3 linked regions of the Tribolium castaneum genome follow. The protein of the gene in region 3 purifies or fractionates together with the protein of the main gene of each other region. This does not show direct contact. Links are inferred from orthologs where the notes say so. Each region holds a gene or a part of one and is shown on either strand. Other genes may lie near its edges. The genes, in order: Sf3b3, wapl and SMC1.

Region 1 (7,751 bases), about 26 Mb from region 3:
TGTCATTGGAACTATAAATTACATTGACTAGTAATTTTTTGAAGTACATGATTAATATTTTTAACAACTAATTTTGAGATTAAATGCGGTGTTTAAATTTTTTTATTATTTTTTAAATTAAATTTATTTAAATTATTTTTTTTAATAGATCCAGCACTTCTAACATAATTTTGTTGTTTTGAAAGTATTCAGATTTTTTTTATTTATTTTAGATTCAATTTTTACTAGACGCCTTCTTGTTCCATCCAAACTAATCGATTATTTACAACGATTTTGAGAACATGTATTTAAATTTTCAATCATCCAACACATTGGTGCTTTATGAATGTATAAATTAATATCATCACTTTAAATAAAAATATCTTTTTGAAGATACGTTATGTCATTTTGAAAGTAAGTTGAATGAATAATCATAAAGGAGGTGATGCAATTTAAAATGTTAAAAGGTTTTCTATTTTTTGTTTATTTTCTGAGATTTTCAAGATAGCTTGTTTTAAAGAAATCACGTGTATGATATTTTGCACAATAAAAAATTTAAATGATACTTAACGAAAACACAGTATTTTATTCAAATTTATCCAGTATAGAGCTCAGAAAAAAGGTTACTGAGATTTTAAATTTCAAAAGTAAATCACCCCTAACTTAAAAACAAATACACATGTCTTTTGGAGTTTGATAAGGATATGAATAAACATTTAAAGGGTAGCTAACGGAAATGGATAAAACCTAAAAGGTAAATACTTGGATAATCCGAAGAAAAAGTTTACTGACCACGTTCGGATTATAGAATTCATAAAAAATTATAATTATCAATAATCCGAACACGCGTTCGGTTTGCAGGTACCTCCAACCATTGGTTAATAACCAATTAACCAAGCAAACAGCTATTCCGACAGCAAAAAATATACTCAAAACCTGTATCTATAAAAAATAAGAAAATACAAAATTAAAATTCATACACTATCGGACAAAAGTAAGGCAACATTTTGAAAAATATAGAAATTAATGTCTATCTAATGTAAATAAATTATGATCGGGCAAACTATGATATTGTTAAAAGAATCAAAGGAAGCTACTGTCATTAATGTCAAGTAATTATTTATTAAGGTTGAAAAAAACCGCTTTGTTGACTTGTAGTGTAAAAAAGGATTATTTTAAGACGACAAAAGTAAGGCAACATTTAGATTTTTTTCAAAAAATGTTGTTATAATGAAAAATTTGTTAGGCCAATATTAACAGTTCGTCTTGCGCAACAAGAGCCATGCCAACGGGTACACCAATTGGTAAAGAGTTGAAAGAAAGAGTGATCGATGCTTTCTTAAACAATGAAAAACAAGCGGATATTGCAAGAAGATTTCAACTGCCTAGATACAGCGTGTCTAAAATAATTATTCGCTACAACGAAAGAGGACATTTAAACAATAATCCAAAATCGGGACGACCACGAAAAACCACTATAAACATGGACAGACGCATTAAAAGAATTTCGGAAAACGATCCATGGAAATCTGCATCTAAAATTATAGCGGAAATACCGGAAGTAGGAGTTAGTACACGAACAATTCAAAGAAGACTGGTTGCAGCAAAGCTTTTTAGTAGACGTCCTGCTAAAAAACCTTTGATTTCCGAAAGAAATAGACGCGCCAGACTTCAATTTGCAAGAGAACATTTGAATTGGACAAAGCAAGATTGGAGGAAAGTTCTGTTTAGTGACGAAACTCGATACAAATTATTTAATTCGGATGGAATGAAACGTGTGAGACGGCCAATCAATACACGATTCAACCCCAAGTATGTTACACCCACTGTTAAACATGGTCATGGTAGCGTTTTTCTGTGGGGGTGTTTTTCGTGGAATTGTGTGGGTCCGTTGAGCTTTATTGGGGGTAATATGGATCGGTTCATCCATAAGGACATACTCCAAGATGTAATGCTGCCGTATGCAGAATGGGAAATGCCTCTTCGTTTTATCTTTCAGCAAGATAACGACCCCAAACACACTTCTGCATTGGTCAGTGAGTGGTTCCAAAATAATAATATTCATGTTTTGCAATGGCCTGCCCAATCACCAAACCTCAACCCAATTGAGAACTTATGGGAAGAGGTAGAGCGACGAATCCGGATACAAAAATTTCCCAACAAGCAATCTTTGATAGATAAAATCAAAGAAGTGTGGTCAAATCTGGATGAAAATGTTATTCAAAAATTAATTTCTTCAATGCCCAGACGGTGCCAAAAAATTATACTTAATAACGGCTATGTCATAAATTATTGAATTTTTCGTTCTATTTATTTAAACTTTAGTGTTGGGTAGTGTTATGTAAATGTTGAATCAAATAAAATTTGAGTTGAAAATATTTTCTGACAATGTTGCCTTACTTTTGTCGCATTAATATCGGGCTTTTTTATATTTCAAGCTAGTAGCATGTCATAATAATTACCCATTGGCTATCCATGTTCAACACGAATAAGAATATCTTTAAACGTTTATTATAAAATTAAATTGAAGGTAAATACCAACTCTTAAAATTTAAAATACCAATATTTGTATATTTTTCAACATGTTGCCTTACTTTTGTCCGATAGTGTATTTTAAACAAATACTTTTTTCGACAAAATAATTAAAAGTCAAAATAAATGAATGGTAATTCGGATTATGTATACTATTTTACTTAATTTGGGAGTTCGGTTAATAGAATCGTACGGATTATCCGAGCCGTCTAAATGCAGAACTGATTGCCAAAAATTTTAAAAATAGCTTTCCCGCACTGTCACATTTAAAATTTAAACAGCAATTTCTATTTGTTTTTACAAAATTCATTCTTTAATACAGTAAAACTATACAAAAGTTTCGAATTTGACACAAAACTCACTGGGGCTTGATAATGTATTCTTTAATTGTGGTAATCTATTTCGTTTTGTTTTTAATTAAGTAGGTATATCCCATTTCAGGTCGTAGAATTTTGCAAAAACGTATTTGCATTTTTTGGAGTAAAATGTAACGCAAATTGAGTTTCTGGTGGGTTTTCTTAGCACAAACTTTTTTTCTTTTACAGAAACTTACAATTTTGCACAAATCGCACTCCAAAAATGTCACTCAGATGCAGATGTAATTATAACTTTCTAAAATAGTTTTCCGCAAAACTAACTAATAAAGACCGCACGTTTTTTGTGCATTCATTAATTTTTACAGAACAAAAATACTTTAATAAAAAATTTGTACCTATTCAAAATGTAAGCGAGTTTTTGTTTCTCGACGGCGCCTATCATTACAGCACGTCCTCGAGGGTCAGTGGCTAGGTACTGGCCTGGAACAATACGTCTGACCCCCGATTTGCCGAACGTCTCCTGGTGGACCTTCTCGAAGTTGTTTTTAGACGGGATATACTCAAGAATAACGATTCTGCCGGAGTCGGAGCCCACGATGACGAAGTCTTTGGTGCCTCCGGTGAGTCGAAACGACATCAACGAGCGGACGACTCCGAATATTTCGACGGTTAGAAGCGTGTGGACTTTACCGGTGTTGGGGTCAGGCCGTAGCACTTCCAAGCTTTTGCCACGTGAAATGACAATTTCTTGCATTTTGGTGCCGGAAAAATTGCCATGGATGGCGTGGGTGATGGCTGTGGCCCTTTGTAAGGTCAGGTTGTAGAGATACATTTTGGGGGCTTATCTAGGAAGAAAAGTGAGGTTAGAACGTATCATTTTTTAGTTGAAAATGTGGGGCACTAAAACCAGGCTTTAGCTTGGTAATTCGCTTGAGCCAACGATGCGATGTGCCCCATAATATAGCACCCTTTACGACCTGTACGTATACAATACATAGGTACAGGAGATACCAAGTGCATCCGATTACAAATTTTTAAAGCAACTCGTTAATTTGGGCAAAAATACGTACTTGTGATTAATTATAAAACAAAATCAAAGCTAAATTTTGTTACCTTGAACGTGGATGAGCTTCGTTTCGTTCAATATTTCAAAGTTTTTCAACCATTTATTTTCGATTTTCGCATGGTTCACATTGTTGTGACGTGGTGACTTGGTTATTTATTTGAGCGTTTTTGTCGATGGTTAAGTTAATTAAAAAACAATAATAAAGCACCTTTTGCAATGTTTTGATACATTATTTAGCAAAAAAGTACAAAAACTAACTGCAAATGGCGACAGACCGGCAAAATAACGCACAAACACCGGTGAAGTGAGAAAGGAAACGGAAAGAAGAAATGTAGTGCTACTGCGCGTGCGTGTTGGCTATATTTTTTACTACGCAAGCGCAAAATTTCTAAACCAATCAGAAAATTGAGAGGAAATTTCAATTTAAATAAATTTTTCAGAAAATTATCTTTGGCCAAAATTATACTTTAACAATTTATGCGTTTGATATTGCCAGTATGTATCTTTTGTTTTTACCGTACTGTAGGTACTGTATTTAGAACTTGATTGTGTTTATCTCAATTTGAGGCAAATAAGAATCCAAATTCTAGTAAAAAGCTTATTGTTTTGTACCATATTTTCCGGACAATTTTCAGAGTTTTAGTTCAATGCAATTTACAGTAATAGTCTTATGCGTTTGTTTGATGAAATTTTAAGTTATTGTAAAGATATCATATCTTCCTTATTATAAAAGATACATATTTAAAACAAAAACATTATACAGGCACTTTTTTACAGAGAATTTAATAATGTTAGCAGCGATTTTTTTTACTCATTCGCTTAGCTGTAATGACATAAAGTTTTATTTTTTTAAATGAGAATTATAGTTGGCTATGACATTTTCGAAAAGCTTTTTTTTTCTGAACTCAAAACAATATAAATATAGTTTGATGTTTTTATACAGGGTGCTCAAAAACTGGCGCACCAACTCAGTGGTACGTTATTGAGAAGCAAGTGCAGATTACGGGAAAAATGTTGAAAAAATTCCTAAAGTTATATTTTAAAAAATCTGGAGCTACAAACTTATTGTGTTAATTTCTTTAGTTTTTATTATTTTTTTATATTTTTATTTTTCATACCAGGTAATCGTTCCGTAACAAAACGATTAACAATTATTTTAAAATTTACTATCAAATTTTAGCAGTTTTTTTAATATAAAAAAATTAAAATTTATCCAAAAAAATCACAATGTGTAGATGTGCCAACACTGGGAATTATTTCCTAGGAAACCGTTTCAAATATAATTTATTTTTATTGTTGCTCAAATTCTATTGCGATCATGACTATTAGACAACGTTGCCACATATCAATTACTTAAAATTAGTTATTTATCAATAATTTTAATACAAAGAATTTTTTTACTATTTTTACCATTATATGTAACCACTTCTCTATCACACACCATTGAGTTGGTGCGCCAGTTTTTGAGCACGCTGTATATTTATGATAAAAATATATTAAAACATTTGAAAGTAGTTGGCTATGAAAAAATTATTTCACATAAAAGGTGTGAATAATCTAGAAATTTTGTGAACGGTTATTAAAGTAAAAAATGTGAAATTATAAAAATAAGCTGTGTTGAAGTTATTTTGAATTGAACAAATATACGATGATCGCAGATTTTAATTACATAAAAAATGTGTAGGTGACGTTGATAATGTTGTATATTTTTTTACCGCAGATAAAATTTGATTTGGTGTTTGGATTGACATTTTTTTTGTAAAATAAAATTTTATTGATACGCAATCATACAATTATTTTTTTCTTTTTCCGACATTTCATGTTTAAAATTGTAAAATAGAATAACAACGTAAGCTTGCCATTTTAAATATAAAAACAAATAATTTTTATTAATTGCAAAAATTTAAATTAATAAAAATTTATTATGCTGTTTTGGAATTAAGGATTTAAAAAATCATTAAATTATAAATATATATATATATATATATATATATATATATATATATATATATATATAAATATTATAAATTATAAATACAAGTAAAACAATTTTCATAGTTTCATAATTATTTCATAGTTAAAAGCAAAATGTTTTGTTTTTTTTTAATATTTAAAATTAATGTATTACACAAATAAACATATCAAATCAGAAAAAAATAAGCTTTTCGAGAATGTCATAGCCAACTAGATTTCGCTAAAATGTCAATTTCTGTTTATAAGTCGAAAACAAAAAACGATAGCGAGATGCGGTTTTGACCAAAATTATTCTCTCAAAAAACGGACCCGAGAATGTGTTAATCGTTTTTCTCTAAACCTCTTAATTTCGAAGATCCCGTATTCGGACATCCAAAATGCAGCACCATGTATAGTTACATAATGAAGGTGTATATTGTGTTGCATTTTGTTTTGATAAAAATCGTCATTTATCATCTTTTTAAAGAAATGGGTTATCGGGATCGTTCGAGGTTCGAATGATGTGCATAAGGAGACAAATAACATGCTGTTTTCTCCCTTAGACTTTGTAAACCAATCGATAGCTAGGAAGAGGAAATAAATGTTACCTAATAAAATATCCAACTTTTGAAGCGTCCTAGTTCGAGTTTTGAAAAAACATCCAAGAAGGAAAGTTTTAGAACGCAGCTGGCTCCATTGTTGCACTGAAGTGGAGCCAACTTTTCGAATTAATGATATTATACTATACTTGGAAAGCTTTCCACTTTTTTTTAGAACCATAAATAAAAAAACACTCAATATAAACAATGTACAATGTCAAAAAAAAATCAAAATACAAGCAGTTCCCAAAACCCCACATTAAAGTATCACTTTATAAAATAATTAAATGCTTGATTTTACAACAACTGTGTGTACTTATTTTGTGTTATATTATTTATTTGCAAAGGCACGCACATTTTGATATGGAATTATCCAAAAAATTCGTCGAATTAAATAAAGTTGGCGTCATTTTTGTCTTTTTCAAGCGCTTAGACAAGTCTAACTCAGTTTTTACCGAAATTTTGATAGTGCGTTGCCAGAAACGTTGTTTAGTAAAATTTTAAAATCTCAAAATTAGTTCAAGAATGGAACTCTATTTAAAATAAGTATGCAGTTTTTGCAAAATTTTAATAAACCTAGCTGATAAATCAGTAAATTAAGGACGACATTATCATTTTTACCTATATGATTATTTGGTCAAGTCTAGTCAATTATTATTACTCAAAAAATCACCGAATCGTATACAGAAATATTATTATTTTTGTTATTTTTTAAAACAATAATATTTTTGTTTCATTTTAAAATAATGGATGTTGAAAAAAAAACAACTTAGTTGCGCCGACGTTCCAACTTCTTTATTATCTTGTTAAAGTAAAAATAAGAAAATAGAAAACACGTAGGTACCCCAACTTTGATTAAAATAAACCAAAAAAAAACCGCAAAATTGAATTAAAAATGTTATTATTTTGCGTTTTACAAACGACGACGCTCATTTTTTTTAGTTAAATAAGCGTTATTTAACGAAATGTCATTAAAAAGTAGCAAAAAAAATCCTTTAATTGAATTAGAAATGGTAACATTTCTATCTTTTTAGACTGTTTAAACACCACATATTTGAATAAAGTGGAAAGAAAATTTAGTTAATTAAATAAAAAATAACACTTTCTTATCAATTTCTTATTAGCACGTTGCCGAGCTTGAAAGGTAATTAACTAATTATATTTTTAAAATTAATTGCATTGTAGTATTTCTTTTTTGTTAATTAGATTATGTTTGAAGTTTTTCTACAGGGTGAAGATGAATTGATTACATATATTAAAAGGCATAACTCCTTGATATAAAAAGATTACAAAGCTGAATAAAAA
Region 2 (7,704 bases), on a different chromosome or scaffold from region 3:
CTATAAATTCGCCACGATAAAAATATAAAACGACATACTGAACCTTACGTTAAATTTCATAGGCTTAACACTAAATAATACTAACAACAGAATAAGGTAATAAAATAAAGAATGAAATGTTTCAGTTCAGTAATCTAGGTCAACTATCAATATGACTATTTTTTTGTATTTTTTCTACTTTTGTGATTTCAGTAAACTGTAAGTACTAGAGAAATGATGGTGCATTTTCATAGTCAATCACCACTTTGAAACGTTCTTACGATTTACCAAAACTGATTCTTTACAATATTTAAATGCTAGTGTGCCATTGTGTAACTAAGATCCATACACTCCGTATAACTCGGCTTCTCTTCAGGCGGAGGACTGTCACACTCTTCCAGAAACTTGATGACTTTTTCGGTGGCTTTAATTGCGCAAACGCTTGACGCTTCCGTCTGTAAAAAAAAACAATCATAAAACCAACATTTAGCAACAAAACAACACGTACCGAAGCAGTTAAATTCATAAAATTGAAGAACTTCTTCAACAGTTCGACCATATCGGCAAAATTGTTCCCACGGAGGAACTGTCGCACGTTATTTTGGTACTCCTTGTTGTCCATTATCAGGAATCCAATCAACATAACGATGTACGAAGCCAGGAAGGTGTACTCCATATGTGTGCCGGCTTTTTGTAGCACTAGAACCACACAGTTATAAAATCGCAACAAATTATTATAACTCACATTTAGCGACAGTTTCCTCGATAAATTCCTCATTTGACTTGTACGCAACGTTACCACTGTTCTCATCTTTTTCACCGTCCAATATCGCGTTGGTCCGTTTTTCAGCGATTTTCGCACACCCTTCCCAGTGATAAAATTGCGCGATCAAAGCCTCAACGGCACTTTCTTCTCCTACAAATTCACAGTCAGCAAACACCACCGAAGTGATTTTTGACTCACTTGAATAAATACTTTCCAGCTTTGACGGGGCTTTGGCTTCAATCAACAGCTTCTTGTTGTTGTCGTTATCTTGAATAAGGTTAATCAACAACATGAGGACCTGGAATAGTTGGTTATTTGAAGTTTGGGACACAATAAATTATTACCAAAACTCCCAATTCGAATTTCTTTTGTTCGGGGATATAGTGCGGCACTTGGAGAAGCAGATGCAGGCTTGTTTCAATAATGCCGTTCCTCGAACCTATTAAGGTACTTCCCATGGCTGTAAAAACAGTGTTAATTGGGTGAAATTTTAACTGTCAGAACCTACATTGTTTACTAAAGTGGTGTGTTAAATTAATTAATACTTTCAGAGTTACGAGAAGAGCTTCCCTTATTATAGTCCCAGTCGACTCCTTATCGGTTATATCAGTCACTGGATACAGAGGTATTTCACCATCACATAGTTTATACAAATTAACGAGCGTATCTAAAATTACTCCATCATTATATTTTAACAGGTACGTTTGATTCTCTTCATTATTATGAGTGACCTACAAGTGAAAAGTTATTTTGCGCCGATTCACATAAAAATCGTACATTTTCCAGCACACGTAAACACCTATCAACTTTCCGAAGTTTATCTAACAAGGCATCAGTCCACGAAACCACATAATCAGACACCTGTCTACAGCACTCGCATATCGTCTTCATAATATGCTCCAAGCCGCCCAACTCCCGCAGCTCCTCCTTGAACCACTCGCCTGCCCTTTTCGACGTGAGACTCAAAAGCGTCTCCATTGCCAATTGACCCACAGTTATATTATCGAGATTCAGATGCATGGCATGCCCTTGACTTTGTATCTCGGCACACAGCTCCCTAACTTTCTGTTTATTTTTCTCCAACTGGGCCGAGCTCAAGCCGCAGACGTCGAGCGCTTGCTGGTAGCTTACGTCCGATTCGAGAAGGTTTAACATGAGTTCGAGGCAATCGCGGTCTAGGTCCATGTTGAGCCGGTCCTGGCTCAGGACGAACATGACAGTCGCTGTACATAGACCAAGACTCTAAAACACGATTTGAGTAATTTGGAAATTTCAATTGGTGAAATAATACTTGGTCTTTGGTGGCGTCATGTAGTGCCTTGAAAAATTTAGCTACGGTTCCGTGAGCACGCACGTGCATCCGGAACGCAGGCACCATACATTTAGAAGCTAGAGTAATGGCCGATAAACAGCGAGTACTGATTGGATTATTATCCTGCAAGGCATCAAGGATGTACTCCACGTCGTCGTTGAATTCTTGAAATTCGCCGATTTCCTGGATCTGGTGGGCTTTCTTCACGTTGCGGACGACTGTGTAAAACTGAGAAAACATACAAATTAATCAGATAAACCAAACAGTAACAGTCCACAAAGCGAAATAACAAGAACGTTTATTTTTTTAGCAAATAACTTTTTATTGACAAATGCGTAATACCATCCAAATGAAGCTTTTTTAATGTTTTCTTTACAAAAAATGCGTCTCTCACTTTTGTTTATATTAACTAAAACCTGTTCTTATTTAATTACACTGGTTTACAAAATATTTCAAGTATATATGATTCGGTTGTAAAAAGAATTATTAATTACTTATGGTACTATGTAATATTCAATATTTAAATTAAAAAATTAGCAGAACGTCTGTACTCCAAGTATAGATAACTGTGAATTGTTTATCTTCTTCTTATTTTTTTTGATGCTTCAATTTATTTGATTCAATTACTTATTATTTTATTCAAAAAAATTCAGGAATACACAATTAATTCATGCTGTATTATGTTAATAACTAGTTTAAAAGTACAGTTTATGATTATATTACAGAAAAAAACTTTTAAAAAATTCATCAGTTCATCACCAAATTGAGGCCATTTAAATTATATTAAATTATGTAGTGTTCTATGGGCATAATAAAAAAAATAAATATATTTTATTTGTTAAATTTCGTATAAATATTATTTTAATTTTAATATAATGTTCAAAAATAATTTTTTGTAAACATGAGTTACTTTTTAATGCTTGTATTTTTTTGTCTTCATACAACTCACCCCTTTGTCACTCTTGGTGCACTTGATACTGGTCACACTCTCGTCCTCGCCGTCGCTGTTGCCCCCAACCGTGACCCTCGTCAAAGGATCATCATTAAAACTGAACTCGTCATACACTGAACCACCCGTATTATTGCTACTAGGATTTTCGTTCGATTTTTGCGTGGCGTCTTTATCATCACTCCACTTGTGTCTGTACAACGCGCGCCGTTTTTTCGTCACGTCCGTAACTAAAGGTCTACTTTTAAAAATACTTCCTTTCTTCTTTGAGATAACTAATTTAACGGGAGGGCTAGTTTCGGGGGCGCCTTCTTCCGCACTTTTCTCCTTCTGCTCTTCCACCGGCAGTGGGAGCGGTTCCGAATCCTCGGTTAGCTGCGTTTTGATTTCTGAGTCTGGGGTGGTGCTGTTGCTGTCCTCGTCGGTGTCCCATTCCTCTTCTATTGAACCCTTGGTCACTGGTTCTTCCCCCGATTTGGTTTCTTCAACCGGTTGGCTTTTTTCTTCGATGGTTTCACTCGGTTTAGTTTCGATTTGTTCGGTTTTGTCGGTTTCTTCCGGCTCTTTTTCGGCACTAATTTCGCTATCTACGTAATCAATTCCTGAATCTTCGGTGCTGTTCTTCTCTTCGGGGAACAGCTGCGAAGGCGAGTTTGGTTTAAGCAAGTTATCGTACATGGCTTTCCGCTCCATTTCGTATCTTTCAGCTGGGATGTATTGCGGGGACAGGTCTATGTCCTGTTTGGGCGAAGTGAAGAGGGAGAATTCGGTCGGAGTGTCGGCCGTTGCCGGACTGCTGCTGGGGTCCTGTTGCATGCTTCTTCTCGCTGACCTGGTGATGCGACAATTTGGTGATCTTTGTGCTGTGTCCCTGAGAGCCCTTGGAGAGGTGGCGTTTGAAGTCGATGGGGTGCTGGATGGTGTGGGCGTGCTTTCAGATTCGTCCGAATCGTTCACTAACTGGGATTTTCCTTTACATATCCTTAAAACTATTGGAGGTTTTGTTTCGTTTCGTTTAGAATTATTTACATTTGAACTTAGTACAGTCTTTTCAGGCGAGTTGCTCTTTGACGAAAAAAATTTACGACCAACACTTTTGGATTTCTCCGTCGGTTCGTTTACTAATTTCAGCTTCTTTGTTACGTTGCCGTATGTCATGTCGGCCTTGTAGGACGAAGACAGGTCAGGGGGTTCCGTGTTGCGACTCTTGAAGAACTTCTTCGGCTTCGGCACGGACTCTCCTTCAGATGAGGCGTTTTTTTCGTTTTCTGAACGAGACAAACCTGGATTATAACAACTACAGTGAATGGGGGCTTTGAGAGCTTAAACTACTGGCTCTTAAAAAAACCTAACTAAATCAACTCAATTCCATAAGTATTAATGACCACAAAAACAGAACTGTTGCGAAATTATAGTTGTATGTCGAAAATTGTCGAGGGGCAACTTACCATTGCTGGTACGTATGGAAGTGAAGGAGGTGATGCCCCACTTGCCCACAGTGGCTGCAGACCTTGCGGCAGATGGTTTGTTAGCATTTTCCTTAAATAAATTGTCGAAATGGAAACTTGCATGTGAACTTCCTCCACGGCGATACTTCCCATACCCTCTTGACATTTTTAAAAGTTGAACTCAAAAGTACCCCTCACTCAAACATTTCGGATTAAAACTTGAGCCCTGGCAAAATTCCTGGCAATACAAACGCGTCCCCAACGTCCTATCTAGTAATACTATCGAGTTCCATGATGTTATTTTGGCGATTTATCTGTACATTTTGGTGTATTTTGTTAAAATTGGTTCAACTTCGCCATTTTCATCAAATGATGAAGGTCCATTGATATTTATTAAGTGGGCTTGCAGGCATTGGTAAGGTGTCACAGATACCACATTATTTGTATGAGGGTTTCCACTTTTGGGAAAATGCGGGAAATAATTAGGTTTTTCTTGTCAATAGAATTTTCACGTTATAAACACGCCAGTAAATAACGGCTACGAAATCTACGTAAGGTTGCACAGTTGGCTGTTGCAACGACGCTCATCTGTCAAATTTATACAACCGCTTGCAACTGTCAAAAATTTTCGTCCAACTTTTCAAAAATAACCCAAAAAGATGTGTCCTATCGATAAGTTGATAATTGGTGTGTTAATTGTTAGTTTTTCGTCGATTTCTCATTGTCACAATAAATATTCGGCCGAAGCGAATGTGAAAAAATCGAACGATGATGTGGATTTTCGGCCGGTGTCGCTGAAGCACCTGGATAAGCCTTTCAGGATGGCTAAATTAAATCTCTTATGGTCCAAGGCTGTGGTGGTACGTATTTACAACCAGTAGCTGCTTTAATTAAATTAATATTTAGAGGCTCTCTGAACCTAAACTAAAATCCCTGTTTGGCGAATTGAAATTGCACGATAAAGAGGAAATCACTTGGAAGCATTTGAAAGCAGAGGGGAAGGACAAAGACGGGTTAAAAGAGGCCGAGTTGAGGAAGAAATTGCTGACAATAATGGGGTCCTATAATTTACTGGACCAAGCCGATGACGTGCAAGACCCGTCTAAATATAGAGCTCATAAACCTCTGAATGAGGCCTCCGACAAATACATAAACAAGAGTTTATTTAAAGATAAAAAGTTGAACAAACTGTGGGAAAAAGCCGAGACTGCTGGTTTTACGGCCGAGGAGTTGGCGGCTTTAAAAGAGGAATTTACCCACCACCAGGATAAAGTTGACCAATATTACGCTTTGTTGCATGATGTCAAAGGCAAGGAACAAGACGATAACACTGCCAGTATGTTCCTTCAATCGTTGTGCCACAAATTAATTTTTTAATTCTAGATTCGGTAGATGATGGTTTAGACAAATTCAACACCATTGAAAGTCTGGAAGAGCCACAGGCAAACAAGGATTATCTGGACAAAGTGAACCTCCTCAGGGAGCAGCACAAGGATATCCGGGACGGCTACGACCGCTTGCATTTGCTGGCGGCAAAGGGGCCCAACAGTAAAGAATTTGTGGAACCCAAAGTTCAAGGTTTATGGAAAATCGCAATTGAAAGTAACTTTAAACCTGACGAGTTGGAGTCGTTACGAGTGGAGCTCCTGCACTATGAAAATAGGTTACTTAAATTGAGGCATCTTCAGGCTGAAGCTGCCTTGAAAGAAGATCTGCACAAGAAAAAAATGGAAATGGCAGGGGGTAAAACAAACGGAATGCAGATGATGGAAGACACGATTAAAAAGCATGCAAGGAAGGTCGAGAAAATTCACTTGGATCTGGAAACTAGGATAATGCAGAGGCATATTGAATTGTGATTATCTAATTAGTGTTGTAAATAACAAAAATGCATTTGAATTGTTTATTTTGTAGTATTTTTTAACGAATATAATACGTATCACAAATAATTGGAAATGATTATTTTCCCTCAGTCTAACTTTCATACTCTTGTTGGAAATTTTGAATTATTTGTAGTGTCGTGGTTTTGATGTTTTGGGCAACAATTTTGCCGATTTCGGTTTGCTGATCTTCGCTGCAACTTGACATAATATTTGCGTACATATTATTCATCGCATCCTTGAGTGACGCAATAAATTTCGCATTTTTTTCCTCACAAATTTCTGGTCTTGCTTCCTTATTCTCATAACCTTGCAATTTTGTGTTCAAATCAGAAATGGTATTTTCGAGGCGTGAAATTTCAACTTTCTGAGCTAATTCTGACTGCTTGCAAGCCTCAATTTCTTCTATTTGTTTCTCCACGGTTTTAGAAAGGGCAGCGATTTCGTCCTTGTGTGCACAAATTTCTTTTTCCAATTTCTCTCGTTTGACGGTTTCTTGTTCCTCCAAAAGCCTCAATTCCAGTTTATTCTCTTCCTCACTCTTCAAATTACTTTCGTGTTCCTTCAATTGTAATTTGAGTTTTGCGTTTTCTTCCTGACTTGATCCCAATTCCCTCAACAAGTTTTCATTACGCAACTCCAACACTTTGAGTCTACTTTTCAAGCTATTTGAGTTGTCACTGGGCTTATCTGAGTCAACCAAACTAATAATCTGATTTAATTTGTCCGAAATTTGCGATAAATTTAACCTGACTTCACTATTTTGTGCACGGTTTTCAGCAAACAACAAATTTAAAGGGTCGTAAACCATCGGTTGACTCATAACAAAATTATTTGGAACGTTTTGAATTTGATGTGAAGTCTTGATAACAGCTGATGTTGAGCTGACTTGGTGGGTGGATACTGTACTGTCTGCACTTTCAACAGAATCATTATCTGTATCTAAGTCTTTATTCGGTAAAATAGACTGCCCCATTTTGGCAATTCTTGACAATATATCAGCCTTAGCTTTATTTTCCGGCGTTACAACTTCATCAGTTTTTTCAGTTTTGAGGTCTTGTTTTTCAACTACACGATTTACAACACACCCGAACTTTTCAATAACGTTCATAACAGCCATACGGTCATCATTATTGTTAAATTTGATCAACCAGTTCTCTTGAATATTGTCGTAAAACGAAGCAAAATCGTCCTTCTTTAAGTTCACTTCAAAACTAGACGATACTTTAGCCCTCATTATCACATTACGCTTTTCTTTATACAAAATAATTTCATAGGAATTTTGAACTGTTGATCCAATAACAGCAAGGCCATATTTGCCCAACGCTTGGTATTTACCCTCAACTCTAAAACTGTTCTATTAACTGAAT
Region 3 (7,511 bases):
AGAAGTCCATAAAAATTTACTGGAGTGAGTTTAAAAAAAAAAAGTAAGTGTATTACTCAGGAAATTTTAGCAAAAAAATTGAAAATTTTAAACCTCGTGAAAAGCTGGTATAATACAGAAAATGAGCCGTAGAATTCAATGAAACAAACCGCATTGCTCTACGACTTTTAGTTTTTGAGTTATGAATTTTTTTGTTGAATAAAATTTTCCACTATAGAAAATGTCTATTAAAACATCAAACATCGAAAAATCGAACATATGGACTTTTTCTGGTCTTTTAACAACTCCAGAGGGTTGTAAATGCTTATAAAAGTTTATAAAACCTTGCTATTTTTTTGAAGGTAATTTTAAAATTTTAATACGTCTAATAATATTTCTGGAGTTATTTGTCCGATAAATGCTACAGGTACCGAAAATTGCCCAAAATCGTTTACTTTCTCTAGTTGATACTTGTACTACTTGTAAGCGAAATTGTCTTTAAAAACCCCTGTTTGTCTTAGCGGACTGCAGTCTGCCGTGCAAGAACGGCGGCACTTGCAAGACCAAGTCCGTGTGCATTTGTCCACCAGGCTTCAGTGGTAAACTCTGCGACAAAGACGTGGATGAGTGCAAGCAGAAGCCCTGCGACCAAATATGTTACAACACACCTGGGAGCTACCGCTGCGAATGCAAAGAGTCGTTCGTATTGCAAAGAGACGGTCAGACTTGTCGTAAAGAGAGTGAGTATTTACATATTTCATGATATGGAAATGCGAATCCACGAGTTTAACTGTACGTCTCGTTTCAGACGACGACGACACAGCGCTCGAGGCCAAAGATTTGGATACACAGCAAAAATTGGATAAGATGGATAAACGGCTGCAGATGCTCGAAAAGGTATCAAATTAGGCCGAAATGAAAAGTAATTAACTTGATGCCGATTTCAGATGGTGAAAGAAAAGAGCAAAAACGAAGTTACGAAGCAGGATCTTAAAAGTATTTATGGAAACATTGATAGGATGTCTAGTGATATTGGTAGTATAGCGTGCAAGTTGCGGCGATTGGTACACGATAAATTTTTCTTAAATTCCCCTGATGTGCAACAGCAAAAATTAATTTTAGGAAAGCTGTAATCAAGATAAAACGCCACCAAAAAGTTGCATCGATCTTGTAGAAAACACAATTCATAGTAACACCAAACCCCCTTCTCCAGCCGACGAAGCAAGCTGTGATTGTGAAAAACCACAAGAACATCCCCCAGGGTGTAAATGTATGTCGTCGTCAGTGTAAAAATTTGAACTTATATTTATATGTAAAAACACAAATAAAGACTCAAAAAAGCATTTTTATTTTTAATAATAAACTGTAACATTTGAAACAATCAATGTTTGCCCTTCTTCCCTCTCTTCCCCTTCTTGGATTTACTCCTGGCAGTTTTCCTCGGGTGCAGCCATACGGGGTATGCGCCATGTTGATCCCTCAAAGTCCTAGGATTAAAGACACGCTTTTTTGAGTCGGTCTCCATTTGTTCCTCATTTTCCGCACTTTTTTTAACAGATTTGGGTTCGACGACGTTCACTACGTCCGAAATTTCTGTCATATTTACATCCTTGTTATCAGACTGACTGTCGTTGATCCCCAAAGTTTTTTTCAAACGCTCCAGTTCTTTTTTGCCATAACGTTCCCGCTTGATCGCACGGCACTTTCGCCTCCATTTGCTTCGAATGCTCTTTGCCATTTCCTAAAAAACACTGGCAGTGCGGAAAAAATTATTTCTTTTGGCTTTTACAAGAAGAAAACACGAGTGTCACTTTGAGGTTAATTTTTAAAATGTCAGTCTTAGAAACTTTGGTTTTGACACTAGAAATTAAATTTATTGCTTAACTAATGACACGATTAGTTTACTAAATTATTATCTATTGGGAAATATTGGTTTATGGTTAGTATATTTGTACCGTTAACTAATTGTTAACTAACATGTGCACTTGGGCAATAAATTTATATAAAAATAAATGGGTTTGTTGGGTTGGTGGTTCTGTTATTCTATGGTTGACAGCGGAAAAGTGACCGTTATTTCGTGCGTTTAAAAATTTTAAAAATGGATCACCGGCTAACAAAAATTTGCGATGGTTTCGGTAAGCTCATGAGACTCGCTAGTATCGTTTAAATACTTGGTAAATTGTAGCAAAAGATGAAAACGGGAAAATTGTCACATTACCCTTACAATTACCTCAAATATCGAACGCTCCAAGTTCGTTAACAAGAAAGAGCCCCGAAAAAAGAAGCACGGTGAAGAGGAAATTTATACCAATTGAGCGAATGCCATTTTGTGCCGCTGATTTTGAGAAATCTCCGAAAAAACGTAAAGTGGAAAGACCCGTCTGCAAGCAACTGTTTAAAGCACCCAACGAAAAACCACAAAAGAAGGGTTCTTATAACAGTCGTCAGTCCCTTATTACTAAGAAAAAAACGGTGCAACGTGCGCCAAAGGTACAATATTAACGACCAAAAGGGCAAATTATAAAAACTCGTTTCATGAGGCTTTGAAACTGGTCTTATGAAACCTTTTTAATTTTACTATTTTACAACACATGCTAGTAATGTTTTTTTCAGGTCAGTGTACAAAATGCGACTAGTGATGATTCAGTTTTAATTAATGCCGATGAAAGTTATTTATCTGCCACCAAAGCACGACCTGCAACGCCTTTACAAACCTTATCAAACCTTCTGTCACCCATCAGTGACGGGTCTGCAAATTCCGAAGACAGGGAGTTTTTACTGTTAGAACAAGCATGTGCTTCGGCCAAAAAGCCCCCTAAAAACAACAATCGTGTTGCATCACCCATGGCTTCAGTGTGTGCCTTACTAGAAAGTACAAAGATAACAAATTCAGTGCAAAAAACCAGCTCAATAGTTGATAAAATAAACGCTTTACTGAATGAAGATGATGAGGAGTTCCAGCAGTATGTGCAGAAACGTCAAGTTAGAAGAAATCAAATAAGGGAACTGGTCCGTGGCCTGCTTGACGAAGATAAGGAAAATAACGTCAGAAGATCGGATCGAATAGCAGCGAAACCATCAGTTAAAAAGTTTGTTGTTTCACCTGCAGTTACGAAAAGTGTGGATTTGCGTAAATCAACCCTGAACAAAAATCTATCAAAGAACATTGAATGCAACAGTCCTACAAGAAGAGCGCTTGATTTGTACACCAGTATGCGGAATGAATGTGCTGTTTTGTGTACCCCACAAGTGGACAGAGACGACAAAATGCCATCAAGTGGTAGAAGATCCAGAAGTATCTCTAGGAAAATCCAAAAGCAGTGTCTCTTGTTGCAAGATACACCGAATAAATCATCATCCTAATGCAGTTTAATTTTGTATTTTGTAATTTACTGATTTATTATTAAATTTTCCCTCTACACTACCAGAAATTTATTTTATCAAATTTTTTTTTGTCAAGTTGGTGTTCCATAGTTGTAACTGTTGCAACTAGTGTAAAAGGCTTGAAGGAAGGCAACAACAACGTTGCTTTTTAATAAATTAAAGTTTCTTCGTATATTTATCTCAAAAATGGTTGTTTTTCTGCCCAACTTGTGTATTTTTTGATTTTTGTCCTCACCTCATCTGGGGATTTTAGTGTGTTAACTTGCCACAAGTTGGCGGTGACGCTAGCCGCAGCCGCCATACTTGTTGTTTGTGGTTGTGCGGTGTTTCTGTTTAAAAAATAATGCAAAATCTGTAAAAACCCACAAAATGCCTCCGAGATTGAAACACATCGAAGTGGAGAACTTCAAGTCGTACAAAGGGCACCGAATAATTGGGCCCTTGAAGCCTTTCAATGCCGTAATCGGCCCCAATGGCTCAGGTAAAACACCGTTACATTTTCCATACAAATATCCTCCAAGTTGTGTAAATTTGAAGGTAAATCCAATTTTATGGACGCAATTAGCTTCGTTATGGGCGAAAAGACGCAAAGTTTGCGTGTTAAGAGATTGAGTGATCTTATCCATGGGGCTGCGATTAGCAAACCAATATCCAGAAGGTATTGCCGCTTTCACTTGTTTTGGGACACTGTAACTGTCTTTTTCAGTGCTTCAGTTGCTGCTGTTTTTGTTCTTGATGAAGAAAGTGGCAAAGAAATTTGTTTCCAGCGTTCGGTTCAAGGTTCTTCATCTGAATACAGAATCAATGGAACTGTAAGTATCTTCATCTAGTTGGAGACAAGTGCTTCACAGATCAGTATTACGTGAGTTTTTGTAATACTGCTTAGGCAAGCACAGAGATTATTGTTCTACTAGATATTTTGATGCTACTCGTCTGTAGATACATTACAGCAGTTTATTACATTTTATTCACCAAACAATTTGATTTGCCATTTGTCTAATTTATGTACAGGCACTTTTTTACAGAGAATTTAATGTTATCAACGCTTTTTAGGAATTATGTGTAGTTGGCTATCACAGTTTCGTAAAGCCAATTGTTTTCTGATCTAAAAAATGTAAATACAGTTTGATATTTTTATATACTTTTATAAAAAAAATATTTCGAAAATTTGATAACATTATTTCATATAAAAGTTTTGTGAAAAATGTGAAATTATAAAAATATAAGTTATGTTAAAGCTATTTTCATTTGAACAATTATACGATTGTTTCAGATTTAAGTCATCAATAGATTGAAAACATTTATCAACGGCAAAAATATATCATTTTCAACCCAGTTCTGGTTATTTTTCGGCTCATTTTTTACTAGATTTCTCAAAATAATTGCGTTTCTAAATGAAAAACATTTGATAAAACACAAAATCGCGAAAATAATGCAATTTGCGACCAATTATAGTGATTTTCTACTCCAGTTTCGCAAAAATTGCTCTATTTCGGAAATAATTTTTAACGTGTTGAGCACAATTTTCGACCCAAGTCGATAATTTTTGTCTAAATTTTACGAAATTATTAAGTATCTGACTAAAAAAACGTTCTTAAACGGTAAAAATAACGAGTTTAGCGAATTTTCGGCACATTTTTGATTAAATTTTGCAAAATAATTGCCTTTCTACATGAAGAACTTGTTGATAAAACGCAAAAACGATAAAATATTGTAGTTCTCGATTTAATTTATTGATTTTTCACTTTGGTTTTGTAATTACTGCTCCATTATCAGTATTATCACACTAATTCGGTAAATTTTTGGTTTATTTGTGACAAAACTTTTGTAAAATAATTGCATTCCTGGATGAAATTTTGTGATTTTTTACTGTGATTTCAGAAAAACTTAATTCCATGTCCTAAACGTGCTTAAAAACGCCCAAAAACCTGGAAAAATTGCTCTAATTTTGTAATGGATTTTGACCTAAAACGTTCGAAATTTTCACAATTTTTGAACCAGTTAAATGATTTTTTATCGAAAAAACATAGTTTTAATCCAAGGCCAAAATTACATAATGTTCAGTGTAACTTCAATTTTATTCTTAAATAAAAATAGTATGGTATAACGTAGGTAGTAAAAAAAGTTACTTACCTCATTCTTTGAAAAATTGAAGAAACTCCAGATACTATATCTTTTTAAAATAAAATTATGTTTTATTAAGTTAATAAGTTTTTTCTTCTAATAATATGTGAGATTTTTTAATAAAAAACTGAACGATTTCCAACATGTGAATGGTCAAAAGACTACTCGTAAACTAAATATTTCTTGTACTACTATTATAATTTTAGAGTAAAAACGTAATAAAATTTTGAAAACTGAAAATTATGCCTTGCTTTTTTGCTACTTTACGTAATGGGAAACCTTTTTTTTACCAAAACTATATAATCCCAAAATGATTTTCTTACTTAGGTCGTTTCAAACAATGAATATTTAACTGAACTGGAAAAATTACGCATCAATGTAAAAGGGAAGAATTTTCTGGTCTTCCAAGGTGCGGTAGAATCTGTTGCAATGAAGAATCCCAAAGAAATGACCGCACTTTTTGAGGAAATTAGCGGGTATTTATCATTTTGCATTAATTTTTTGTGTTGCTAATTCCAACCAAATTTAGTTCCGGTGCTTTAAAAGAAGAATATGATCGCCTTAAACAGCAAATGCAAAAGGCACAAGAAGAAATCAACTTTGCTTATCAGAAAAAGAAAGGCATAAATGCTGAACGTAAAGAAGCGAGACTTGAGAAAGAAGAAGCTGATAAATATTCACGACTTAAAGATGATTTGGTATGTTTTACTATTTTTTTTTTATTTTTTTAATTATTGCAACCACAGAATGACAAACTGGTGGAGCACCAACTTTTCCGCTTATACCACAACGAGCGCGAGATGAAAAACCTGGAAAACGATTTAAAACACAAACAACGCGAGGTGGAAAAGATCGAAAAAAAGAAAGAAAAAGCCGAAGAGGTTTTAAAAGAAAAAAAGAAAGAACAAGGCAAATTTAACCGCGAGTTGGCAAAAATCGAGCAAGATATTCGCGAAGTTGTAAGTTTGAATAATTTATTACTTGCACCTTCCTAATTTATTTCACAGGAAGTTGAGATTTCCAAAAAACGGCCGCAGTTCATCAAAGCTAAAGAACGTGTCTCCCACATGCAGAAAAAATTAGACGGAGCGATAAAAACATTAGAACAGGCGAGAAAAGCCCACGAAGCGCATATGAACGATATTAAAAAACTGGAAGACGAATTGGCCGAAGTTGAAAAGACGAAAGACGAATATGAGAGTCAAATTGCCGGAGAGTCGCAAAGTCAAGGCAGAGATGTGCACCTTGAAGACGAACAGGTGAGAAATTACGGAAATGGTGATTGGTTTAGGACTTCGCTGTGTAGGTTAGAGAATATCATCGGCTGAAAGAAGAGGCAGCCAAGAGGTCAGCCAGGTACATGCAGGAGTTGGATTCTGTCAACAGGGAACAGAAGTCGGATCAGGACAGACTTGACAATGTTTCAAGAATGCGCACTGATGCCGAAAATAAACATCGGCAGAAGTGTCACGAGAAGGAGGAAATGGAGAAAAGAATTGAAAAGCTGGCCGAGCATATTCGGTAGTTAATTTTTTCTTTATTTTTTTTTTTTTTGTATTTTCTATACAGGTTGAGTCAAAACTGTCAACTTAAAAGTTCAGTAAAGCTTAAAAAGCTTAAAAAATTCGTATGAATTATTATAATTGCTTGCATATAAAGGTAAACATAGTAAAAAAATTCTTTGTATTAAAATTATTGATTAATAACGAATTTTAAATAAATGATTTGTGGCAACGTTGTCTACCAGTCAACAATAAAAAAAATAATTTTAAACGGTTTCCTAGGAAATAATTTCCAGTGTTGACACATCTACAAATTGTGTTTTTTTTTATGAATGTCATTTCTTTAATTCAAAAAACTGACAAAGTCTGATAGGAAATTAAAAAATAACTATTATCCGTTCACGATTGTTTTAAATTCTCAGCAGGCGTAGATATATTTTTGTTAGGTTGGCCTCAGGTCCTGTCAGGTACTGTCTTTATGACGTTGTCTTGTCAAAAATTCGCTGTGTTGTCAGTTCTACT

What was found.
Region 1: the proteins of SMC1 (region 3) and Sf3b3 fractionate together in Homo sapiens (co-fractionation; 3 studies listed by BioGRID, with this or other methods). This does not show direct contact. The link is inferred for Tribolium castaneum from reciprocal best matches to the Homo sapiens genes SMC1A and SF3B3.
Region 2: the proteins of SMC1 (region 3) and wapl purify together in Homo sapiens (affinity purification with mass spectrometry; 7 studies listed by BioGRID and IntAct, with this or other methods). This does not show direct contact. The link is inferred for Tribolium castaneum from reciprocal best matches to the Homo sapiens genes SMC1A and WAPL.

The regions. Positions count from the first base shown.
Region 1 is NC_087394.1:10,468,947-10,476,697, forward strand, and holds the start of Sf3b3 (splicing factor 3B subunit 3), read right to left. Parts: upstream 4,226-7,751; 5' UTR 3,942-4,225; intron 3,674-3,941; 5' UTR 3,661-3,673; coding exon 3,224-3,660; intron 1-3,223. UniProt on the Homo sapiens protein: Component of the 17S U2 SnRNP complex of the spliceosome, a large ribonucleoprotein complex that removes introns from transcribed pre-mRNAs.
Region 2 is NC_087397.1:5,066,643-5,074,346, reverse strand, and holds the start of wapl (protein wings apart-like), read right to left. Parts: upstream 4,621-7,704; coding exon 4,455-4,620; intron 4,290-4,454; coding exon 3,007-4,289; intron 2,286-3,006; coding exon 2,037-2,285; intron 1,988-2,036; coding exon 1,523-1,987; intron 1,477-1,522; coding exon 1,254-1,476; intron 1,206-1,253; coding exon 1,090-1,205; intron 1,044-1,089; coding exon 725-1,043; intron 679-724; coding exon 488-678; intron 435-487; coding exon 297-434; 3' UTR 1-296. Other genes in the region: alpha-2-macroglobulin receptor-associated protein, read left to right, coding at 5,114-5,314, 5,361-5,790, 5,838-6,313; uncharacterized protein LOC103315102, read right to left, coding at 6,429-7,680. UniProt on the Homo sapiens protein: Regulator of sister chromatid cohesion in mitosis which negatively regulates cohesin association with chromatin. Involved in both sister chromatid cohesion during interphase and sister-chromatid resolution during early stages of mitosis.
Region 3 is NC_087394.1:36,157,633-36,165,143, forward strand, and holds the start of SMC1 (structural maintenance of chromosomes protein 1A), read left to right. Parts: upstream 1-3,618; 5' UTR 3,619-3,732; coding exon 3,733-3,844; intron 3,845-3,900; coding exon 3,901-4,021; intron 4,022-4,069; coding exon 4,070-4,175; intron 4,176-5,814; coding exon 5,815-5,963; intron 5,964-6,016; coding exon 6,017-6,185; intron 6,186-6,233; coding exon 6,234-6,446; intron 6,447-6,494; coding exon 6,495-6,746; intron 6,747-6,793; coding exon 6,794-7,008; intron 7,009-7,511. Other genes in the region: slow (delta-like protein B), read left to right, coding at 501-719, 788-876, 927-1,043, 1,102-1,269; protein LLP homolog, read right to left, coding at 1,361-1,717; uncharacterized protein LOC103314045, read left to right, coding at 2,078-2,114, 2,165-2,469, 2,593-3,342. UniProt on the Homo sapiens protein: Involved in chromosome cohesion during cell cycle and in DNA repair. Central component of cohesin complex. The cohesin complex is required for the cohesion of sister chromatids after DNA replication.